2 linked regions of the Xenopus tropicalis genome follow. Each later gene encodes a partner of the first gene's protein in a complex. Links are inferred from orthologs where the notes say so. Each region holds a gene or a part of one and is shown in the gene's direction. Other genes may lie near its edges.

The links. Proteins that work in one complex are often made in the same cells at the same time.
Region 2: the proteins of pawr (region 1) and spsb1 are in contact, whole or in part, in a crystal structure (PDB 2JK9), measured with the Homo sapiens proteins. The link is inferred for Xenopus tropicalis from reciprocal best matches to the Homo sapiens genes PAWR and SPSB1. Residues at the interface, in NP_001341661.1 of Homo sapiens: Glu68, Leu69, Asn70, Asn71, Asn72, Leu73, Pro74; in NP_079382.2 of Homo sapiens: Arg77, His78, Pro79, Val80, Ala81, Gln82, Gly110, Thr111, Tyr129, Val216, Trp217, Gly218.

Annotation. Positions count from the first base shown.
Region 1 is NC_030679.2:62,531,196-62,536,265, reverse strand, and holds part of pawr (PRKC apoptosis WT1 regulator protein), read left to right. Parts: intron 1-1,467; exon of another isoform or gene 1,468-1,516; 5' UTR 1,517-1,577; coding exon 1,578-2,114; intron 2,115-5,070. UniProt on the Homo sapiens protein: Pro-apoptotic protein capable of selectively inducing apoptosis in cancer cells, sensitizing the cells to diverse apoptotic stimuli and causing regression of tumors in animal models.
Region 2 is NC_030683.2:89,875,103-89,880,172, forward strand, and holds part of spsb1 (SPRY domain-containing SOCS box protein 1), read left to right. Parts: coding exon 1-628; intron 629-3,485; coding exon 3,486-3,613; 3' UTR 3,614-5,070. UniProt on the Homo sapiens protein: Substrate recognition component of a SCF-like ECS (Elongin BC-CUL2/5-SOCS-box protein) E3 ubiquitin-protein ligase complex which mediates the ubiquitination and subsequent proteasomal degradation of target proteins.

The DNA of each region.
Region 1 (5,070 bases):
TCCCGCCCTCCCCGCCCGCAAAACAACAATTACCCCTTTTCTGTAGCTTTGTAAAAAAAAAAATGCTATTGTAAAAAATAAATATTCTGAGAATAAGGAAAATGAAGATGCAGATGCTTTTCAGTTTGACGAAACAAGCAGCACAGCATCAGTACCTTTGTATACCAAATAGCTGCAGTTGTAGTCAGGGTTTTGGATAAGGAAGGGCACATGCAACAGGGCAAAAGATCTGATTGTTGTGATGGCAGCAGAAAATTGAATAGAAACGGCATGTGCTTTGTATTACTGGCACAATTCAGATATGCCCCTTAAGCTGGTAACAAGCTGTGCGTTTGATGTCCAGTTCTCATGATTTTTTTTTGGCTGCTGAGTGGAGGTTTGCTTATCTTTAAATTCTGGGACACCAAAACATTGTTAAGGAAAAGGCTGTTCTTTTCCTTGCTTCCTCCCTGTAAATTTGATTTATTTAATCCTTGTTACTTCAGAGACAAGCAATACATTACTTTGTTTCAGCAGTTAAGGCATTTTTTTTTTTTTACAATAGCCTGATATCCAGCTGTTAAAGGCATAGTTTACCTTTTAGTATGATATGTTATGTCCTATTCTTAGCAACCTTTAAATTGGATTTAATTTTTAATAGTTTTTGAGTTCTGTCTTTTTCCAGCTTGCATATGAGTGATATTGACCCTAGGAGTAAAAAAAACTATTGCTCTGGGATGCTTCAATTGCATTGGTACTTTGTATTGCTTATATCTCTCTTCAGCGACTCACCTATTCATCTTCCTTTCTCTCATTCAAACCACTTCCTGGTGGCTAGGGCAAATTTAGGAAGATGAACATCACACTTAAAGGGGTTGTTCACCTTTGGGTTAACTTTTATTATGATATAGAAAGTGAGATTCTCAGACAATTTGCAATTGGTCTTATTTTTTTATTTGTAGTTTTTTAATTATTTCAGGATTTGTTCTGCAATAATAATGAAGACCAGTTGAAATGTTGCTTATAACTGGCCATTCTATAACATACTAAAAGTTAACTTAAAGGTGAACCACCCCTTTAAACCTGTTATTTGTTCTATTATTTAATTATTTTTTTAAATATTACTAAACAATTACATTAATAACTAGGGCTACTTTCTTTTTTTCCAGTATAGCTAATTTCACTCTGCTTCTTTGCAGAGGCTGGAGCAGTCCTAATGCTTGCCACTGCTTATCAGGTGTCTAAAGAAAACTGAGAGGCACAGAGAATGTCTCATCAGTCAAGCAGTAGACCCACTCCCATTGGCATCTGAACATAGTAAGGGATGCTGTCTAACTTATGGTCTGCATAAAAAGACACAGAGTTCATCCCTTTAACTCTCCAGAGATATTATTATATTGTTGAAACGTAGCAGTTTTATTAAATGATTACTATGAGCAGGACAAAATAGCTGTTATTGACAGATGTGTTTTTTTTTTTCTCTTCAAGGTTACGTTCCCACAGATGCTTATATGTTTGTGCTCTTGTTTTCGTCAAGTGTCCATTTAATGTACTGAAGATTTGTGGACCTGTGTGATCATCATTGACTTGGAGACAACATGGCAAGTGGGGGATACAAGTCACACAACCCATCTTCCTCTAACACAACTGATTTCTTGGAGGAGTGGAAAGCCAAGAGAGAGAAGATGAGAGCCAAAATGCTTGCAAATGAGTTACTGATAGCAGCCACAGGAGGAGGAGGGGGAGGAGAATGTGGAGGCAATGACATTGTCAATAAAGCTAGCAGTGAGTTGAACAACAATGGTAACTGCAATGCAGCACCTACAAACAACCCAGTATCTGCAGCACCCTCAATCAATAAAGGTCCTGCAAATAAGAAGGCAGATGAGGATCCAATAGTTCCATCTACTGTGATGCAGCAAAAGAAAGTGCCTGGTCCTGTGCAAGATGGGGTATCTGCAGGAAACGTGCAGGATGAGTCCACCCCACCAGTTTCACAGGAAACTCACACAAAGGCAAAAGAAAAGAAGAGTTGCAGTGGACCTAGTGCCAGGAAGGGTAAGGGACAGATTGAGAAGAGAAAGCTTCGAGAAAAGAGGAGGTCTACAGGAGTGGTTAACATCCCCTCAGTAGAAGTAAGTTATTTTACTTAATGCAAAACTCTTTTGTGTTTTCATGTAAGGTAGCCATATAAAATTCAAAAGCAGTGAAGGGCTACATTGAGAGGGTTTTGATGTATGGAGGGCTACAAAAGTGCCTTTTACAATAACCAGTAGGTATGCACATTTTATTTTTTTAAAGTCTAATATAGTAGAACCTGATTTTACGCTAAATGGCCACGAAAAATAGTGTAAATTCTATAAAAACATTAAATCCAGGTACTTAAAATCAGGCTCTACTGTATTACACCAGAATACAGAGCTTACCTTTAAATAACAACTTGTTTTTATAAAAAACGTTTTTTTCTCCTATAAAATATAATGATATTAAACGATAACGGAGTGCTGTGGCCTTTATAAAGGAAATCAGCCAAAAACTACTGTTTAGTTAAATAACATACTTGGGAAATGAGAATTCCATTCAGAGCTTTTTGGCTATTGATTTTCTGGATCATAGTTCTCATACTCTTATTTATTTCTGTAATGGAGCTTTTAAAAAGTATTTCATTTTTACAGGTAATATTATTTGATAATAAAATACATACTGCAACACATTAAGCTTGATGGACATGTATCTTTTTTAACTGTATCTACTATGTAAATGTATACTGCTAACAACTACTTAAAGGGAAAGAAAGGCTAAGTCACTTGGGGATGCCAAAATGTTAGGCACCCCCAAGTGACTTTAATCGCCTACCTTTTAACCCTGGCTGGTGCCCCTGTTAGTAGAAAACAGCACCAGCCTGGGGTACCTGTAACGAGCGCTTCCTTCTTCCACGTTTCTTCTGCGGCGAAATCCCTGGGCCACTGTATGCGCATTAGAGTCAAAAGCGACTTTCTTGTTAAAGTTCGGCTTTTCACTGTACTGCGCATGCGCAATGCGCCAACACGGAAGACAGGATCGTTCGCAGCTACCCCGGGCTGGTGCTGTTCTCTCTTAACAGGGGCACCAGCCCAGGGTAAAAGGTAAGCGATTTAAGTCACTTGGGGGTGCCTAACATTTTGACACCACAAGTGACTTAGGCTTTCCTTTTCCTTTAAGATGGTGCCAAACAAACCATGTCTGCTTAAAAAACACATTTGCTTGAAGAGCCTTGATACAGAAAGAGCTACTAAATCCTTTAACGGATACTGCCATTTTGGACAGTTTTGAAAGTGAATTTAAATTTTTGCGGAGTCTATCACATAGCTGCTAATTTGTTTATGTTAATAAAAGACAGTGGGGGAGAAGGGGGACTGACCAGGGAGCAGGCCGCAGACTGTCAGTGTCTTTTTTTTTTTTCCAATATATAATTAAAGATCATAATGGCAAAGTGTCATTCAGAACAAGTCTGTACTTTTCCATTGGTGATTAGTTTTTCTTGTACCTTACATTTATCTGTGTGAGATTTCACACTCGGTTTATTATATAGATATCTGACGGACAGGCCCTTGGGTACTTAGTCTTCAAAAAAAAATGACAGTACGTTTTTTTTTTTTTATTAACCAAGAAACCTTGAGTGTACAGAGGCCACATGTGCCACCACATTTTATTTTTTTCTGTTGCTGTTATACCATCAGATCTTTTCCACCAAGGCCACACATATGTTTTTGCATTGTCTTTACAAAAAAAGTAATAACAAGTGAATACCTCCCAACGTTCCAGTTCCTAAAAACAAGGTGCTTCCTCCATGCCCTGATTCTTCTAGGATCATATTAGGCATACAGTTATCTACCTTAACACCAGTTCACTTTTCTGTAAATCCCACTCATTTGGGGGTCAGCAGTTAGGGACTTTCCAGCAAAAAATGGACCTTTTGGAGATATGCAAGTGCAGCATGAATTCAGTATGTTGATACTTGGAGCTATGTAGAAAATGCAGCAGCTATACATGTTTTAAAGAAATAAGGCGTTTATTGGTGCCTTGCTAGATCTGCAAGGTAAGGCTTTCTCGCTGTTTGTTCAAGTCTCTCTAAAGAGAGTAAGTATGCTTGTGTGGCATAGTGCCATACTCACTAAAAGTTTGAACTACACTTTGCACAATGCTTTTTATTACAGCATAAAGTCATCAGATAAAGGGGAACACATTTGAAATCAGACAGAATTTAAATACATGTACATTTGGTGGGAAAAACCCTGCATCCCTTTTCCTATGTGCATAGATCAGATTACCAGGGGCCCAGCTTACAACCATTGGCATTGTCACTGATAAGAACCCTTCACTCAATATTCCATTTTTTTTTGGAAAACGTGGAAGATTGCCCATAAAACCATGTTGATTCAAACAAATTATCGATTGCAGTATATTGCATAATGTGGCTTATTTGAAATCTTATTGATTTCCCAACTTGATTCACATCTCTAGTATTCAAGTCTTGTAGGCTGTAAGTGGGATTTGATTAGACATAACTCTGAATCAGTGCAATGAACTAGATCACATTCACAACCAAAAAAGGCAGATATGCATGTGGCCTTAGGCTGCATGTTATCAGGCTTGTTGTTGTATGCGTTTTATTGGTCCTGCATGTGGTTAGGCCAGCCCTCAGCCCATAATATTAACAACCCACAACTGCAGTCCAGGAGGTTATTGGTTATGCTCCACTCCAGCTGGGGATATAGATAAAGATGATTCACAGAAAATCTAAGAGGTCTTTTTGTAGTTCTAAATCTCACCCTCAGGTTTTTTAGACTGATGACTATCTTTCCTGCTTGAGGCGTTTTAGTACATCATTTACCTGTGTAAAGCTATGGCACCAGAAGAGAGGCCAATTAGTCCTTTCAGTTGCATCAAGCCTGCTCAGTTTCATATCTTTATAAAGAAGAAATGTGGCACCCTTCCTTTTGCATTGTCTGTTTGTTGCAACTGAAAACACCGTCCATCTTAAAGACCTTCTATTTTATTTAGCTTCTGGAGATCACCTTTCTAGGCCAGACTGTTTCTCTGGAGTTTGGG
Region 2 (5,070 bases), on another chromosome or scaffold:
AAGCAAGATCTACAAGGGCTTGATTACTGTAAGCCTGCAAGACTCGACCTTTTATTAGATATGCCTCCAGTGTCCCATGAAGTACAGCTTCAGCACTCCTGGAATAACAATGATCGCTCGCTAAATGTGTTTGTGAAGGAGGATGACAAACTTGTCTTTCACCGGCATCCGGTGGCACAGAGCACAGATGCTATTCGTGGCAAAATTGGTTACACACGTGGCTTGCATGTTTGGGAGATTACCTGGGTTATGCGGCAGCGAGGGACTCATGCTGTTGTTGGAGTAGCTACAGCAGATGCACCTCTACATTCTGTTGGCTATACAACACTTATAGGCAGTAATGGCAAATCTTGGGGCTGGGACCTGGGCAGGAATAAACTATATCATGATGGGAAAAATCAGCCAAGTAGAACATACCCTGCGTTTCTGGAGCCTGATGAAACATTTATTGTCCCAGATTCCTTCTTGGTGGTACTTGATATGGACGATGGCACACTTAGCTTTGTTGTGGATGGACAATACATGGGAATAGCTTTTCGAGGACTAAAGGGAAAAAAACTTTATCCTGTTGTAAGTGCAGTGTGGGGTCACTGTGAAATAAAGATGCGATACTTAAATGGACTTGACCGTAAGTACACATTTAATATCACACTTAATATACCAGTTTGCTTGAAGGCCTGTGATTTTTCAGCTGTCTTTGAATTCTTGCTTAGTTATATCTACATTTTGAACAGTGTACCCTTGCACGAATATTCTGAACCTACATTCACACCTAGGGGCACATTTACTAATCCTCGAATCCCGAATGGGGAAAAAAGGATTGGAAACGAAAATTTTGCGATTTTTTTTTTTTTTTTTTTTTTTCGTCCCCTTCACGATTTTGTATTTGTCGCGACTTTATTGTATTTTGCGCAATTATTTCGTCGACGTCGCAATGTTTTCGTATTGCGCTATAGTAAACGGCAGAAAAACCAATCTGAATTTTTCACGACGGCAACAAAAGTCGCGGAAAATATACAATAAAGTCGTAACGGCGACTAAAAAAATTGCAAAAATACCGATCATTACGAAAAAACCGCTTTCGGACATTCGTGGATTAGTAAATGTGCCCCCTAGTGTTGATAAATTATCCCATTGCATATTGTGAAATTTAGCTGCCCTTTTATGTACATCACTTCTACTCATGTAGAAATTGGATTATTTAGCAAATTATGAATGGAGCATACCCACTTTGCCAATACCCATTATTTTATTTAACAGGAATAGTTAAAAGGGTGACTTTAATATTTGTCTACAATTTTAATACCAGTGACATTGCCCATAGCAACCAAGCAGCAATTAAATTCTAAGGGGCAGATTTATCAAAACACGAGTTTCAGTCCTGAATGGGAAAAATTCGGATTGGAAACAAATATCTGAATATCGCAAATATCACGAAAATGCTTCTGAAAAAATTGTATTAGTCACAATAATATCGTATTGGCGATCCGAAAGTCACAAAATTATTCGTAGCAAATTATTGTAAACAGCGGCAAAACCGATCCGATTTTTTTTTTCACACTAAAAATACGAAAGTCGCGGAAAAAAGTGTTTGAACGCAGCGTTCGTGAATTAGTAAATGTGCCCCTAACTGTCACCTACAAGTAAGAAAACGATGGCAAAGATCTGATTGGTTGCTATGAGCAACATTGTCTCCAGTCTTAATACACCACTAAATGTGATTTGTTTTGCTCTCCCTTTCTCCTTGTTCTGATCTCCACCATCCTTCTCCTGTTTTATAATTTTTTTCAGTCTTGTCTGTTTTGCCTAATTCTCCTTTTCCATGCTTCCTGGATGGTGTATCATATACTGTATTTTATACCATGTGGAATACTGCAACGTAACTGCTGATTGCCCTTTCAGGCTTCCACCTCTCTCCCATTCAGTCTAGCTTGAACTCTGCTGCTAGAATCCTCATGTTCTCACCTAAAGGTGAAACCCCCCTCCTGTGTTAATCTTAATTATAGCTCCATGTTAAATGCGCAGTAACATCAATTTTACGTTATCACTTCTAAACAATTAGCATATATCCTAGATACTTGAATATAAGTGGATTTTAAATAAATAACATTATCATTGATTAGGCTCAGGCATCTCTACCAACTTTCGCTCACTGCAAGTTCAGCCAGTGCACTTCTATCACAGGCTTGCAAACACAGCAGGAGATTAGAAGGCCTCTGTCGCCCATCCCTCTCCGTGAACTGGCAAAAAAATCCATTAATCACTGGCAAGGCAGGCTCTGAAAGCGAAGGCGTTGCAGCAAACTTACCTTTACATCATAGATAATGTTTATTCAGTGCAGTTATAATCACAATTTCTGGGTTACTAAATATATAGAAGGGATAAACAGCACAGAATTGGTTAATACTTGTGACAGTAGTTATGTATACAGTAGAGCCACAATTTTAAGTTTCCCAGGCCATCACGTAAAAACATAAATTCCAGAAAACCGAACAGTTTGGCTTTGAATTTTGCCCCAATGATTAGGACAGCACTATTTTAGTGATATGGGTAAGTGAAAATTTCCTTCAAACTACAGAATAAAAATGTGGACTTGGTCACTGATCTGGCAGCTCTGACATTTTTTGTAAAGGCTACAGTTATATTACTTTAGGTTACCATACATTATACCACTGATCCCGCAACCAGTGGCTCAGGGGCAGGATGTTGCTTAAAGTAGGTGCTTTTTTAATTTCTGGCTTGGAGGCAAGTTTTTGAGACATAAAAAAAACAGGTGTATTGCCAAATAGCCTCCTGTAGGCTGGTGACAAAATAAGTCTATAAAGAGGGACAGCAGCAGAAAGAGCTTGACCTGTACGCAACCCATATTGTGTCGACCCCAACCTGCAGGTCCCGTCCATCTGATGTCTGCCCATAGGGGTTCCCCTTTCACAGACAGGCTGCCAAATTGGTCTGAAGGACACAAATTGGCAGCTTCAATTTGCCAGCGTCTCTTTTCTTTGTCACTCAAAATACAGTGGCTCCTTTTGGGTTGGCTTATGCCAGCCCAAAGCATGCCACCATCTGTTGCCTTCATTGAGGGCATAACTGGCTAGGTCACTAATGGCAGCAACTTGCCAGTTTAGAAGCACAACAGATATCCTGCAAGGCTTACATACCCTGTTTTGAAGCAGATGCACTAAGTGTTAATAAAATGATGCATTTATTTTGTAAGGTGTGACTTCAGGGGTGCTGCCTAACAACAATTTTTACTTTAGATGAGCTATATACATGCTAGCATACACTTTTTAACTTTTTTTTACTGTATGAAATAACCTGTGCATCCCTTACTAGTATTCAGACACAACACCGTATTTATGCATTCTTCAAAATTTGTTCCCCGAAACTTATTCAGTGCATTTAGTCTAAAAATGGTCATGACTTATTGTGAATGTGAATCTCTCATTAAAGTCCTGTCTATAACGGATTTTTTCCTTTTTCTGTAGCTGAACCACTTCCACTGATGGATCTGTGTCGAAGATCTGTTCGCCTTGCATTGGGAAAAGACAGACTGAACGAAATACAAGCTCTTCCACTACCGGCTGCACTTAAAGGCTACCTACTTTACCACTGACATATGCAGAGATCTTCTGCCTATAGTAATCTATACAGTGCTATGCATTCTGAGGCTACAATCCTTTGACCTACACTGCATCGATGTTGGATGTAGTGCTATCCCTCTGCGCTGCTCGAATGCATGCTACAGACTACCAGTACCTCCAAGTTTTTGCCCTGGAGTTTTTGGATTTCCTAACTGGGCGTTTTCTGTGAAGGATATTTAGTAATGCAACTGTGTTCTGCAGGCCTAACACAAGAACAGGGTTGCTTTTACATCTCTAAATGGGAAGTATATATCCTTTTCAGGGAAACCGTCCAAATTCTGCATTGTTTTTTATATGTACCTGTCTGATTTGTATGTCTGTCTAACAGTAGTTGTGCCTCTAAATATTAAGTTGGAGACTGTGGCAAAACAAGAATACCAGAAGGGCAGTTTTACTTTTAACAAAATGAGTTTTGTAAACACAAATCATGGATTTTTTTTTTCAAATGCTTTCTATAAATATATATATATTCAATTCTATGGAATTTTTGAAGCTTATTTATAAATGGGTGAAACTTAGAACTCACTGTTTGATCAATACACTTCTACAAATCCCATAGGAATGAATAGAAAGTTGGTGGGTTTTTATTAAGCTCTAAACTCGCGTTTTGATCGGCCCTATGTGTTCCATTTGACAACATTGGTGTTTCTCACCTTTCTCCCCAGAATGTATCTCCCAAATGTGTTTAAACAATTTAGAACCATGGCACCTATCGGCATTTTTTAACATAATAAAGGGTAAAAGCATGCTGGGAGTTGTAGTCCAGTTACACCTGATGTGAAAGTACCTTAGGAACTGACTTTAGCCAAAAAAGTCAAACTGTAAATAGAAAGCAATTGAAAAATGTGGTGTAGTGTTTAAACGACTATGTATTGGGCCTGTAAACTGAATCTTTTCCACCCAATACAGGGCTGGTGGTTCACTAGAGTATTTCCCATTCATTAACTTCTGTTTGCATTTAATCTTCATAGCGCAATAGGGTTCATGGAAGACCCCTGTGGTTGACTTTTGCCTAATTTAGATTTGTTCACTTTTTTCCTTTTGAAAGTCACTGAATTCCTGGAATGATCTCCAAATAAAGGGTACATACAGCATATGCCAGTTATTATAGCACCCAAATGTTTGTCTTAGAAGTTATGCCATAAGCTTTAGACTCGGTTTGGATAGTGTCTACATGTTGTCATTGAATGTCTACAACCTGGAAATTGTTCCATGCACATGCAAATTGGAGAGGATCAGTGTTTCCACAAGTCAAATGTAAATGTCATGTGTGAAATAGCCTGGTAGGCAGAGGTAAGCAGTTGGATAGCCCCCATTCATATGCGAAATAGAATTGTGCAGAGAGGGTTTTATAATAGTAAGTAATCGGTTGTTGGGATTAAATGAAGGAAAAGCGCTAGCCATGCAACGCTTCACTGCCACCTTTACT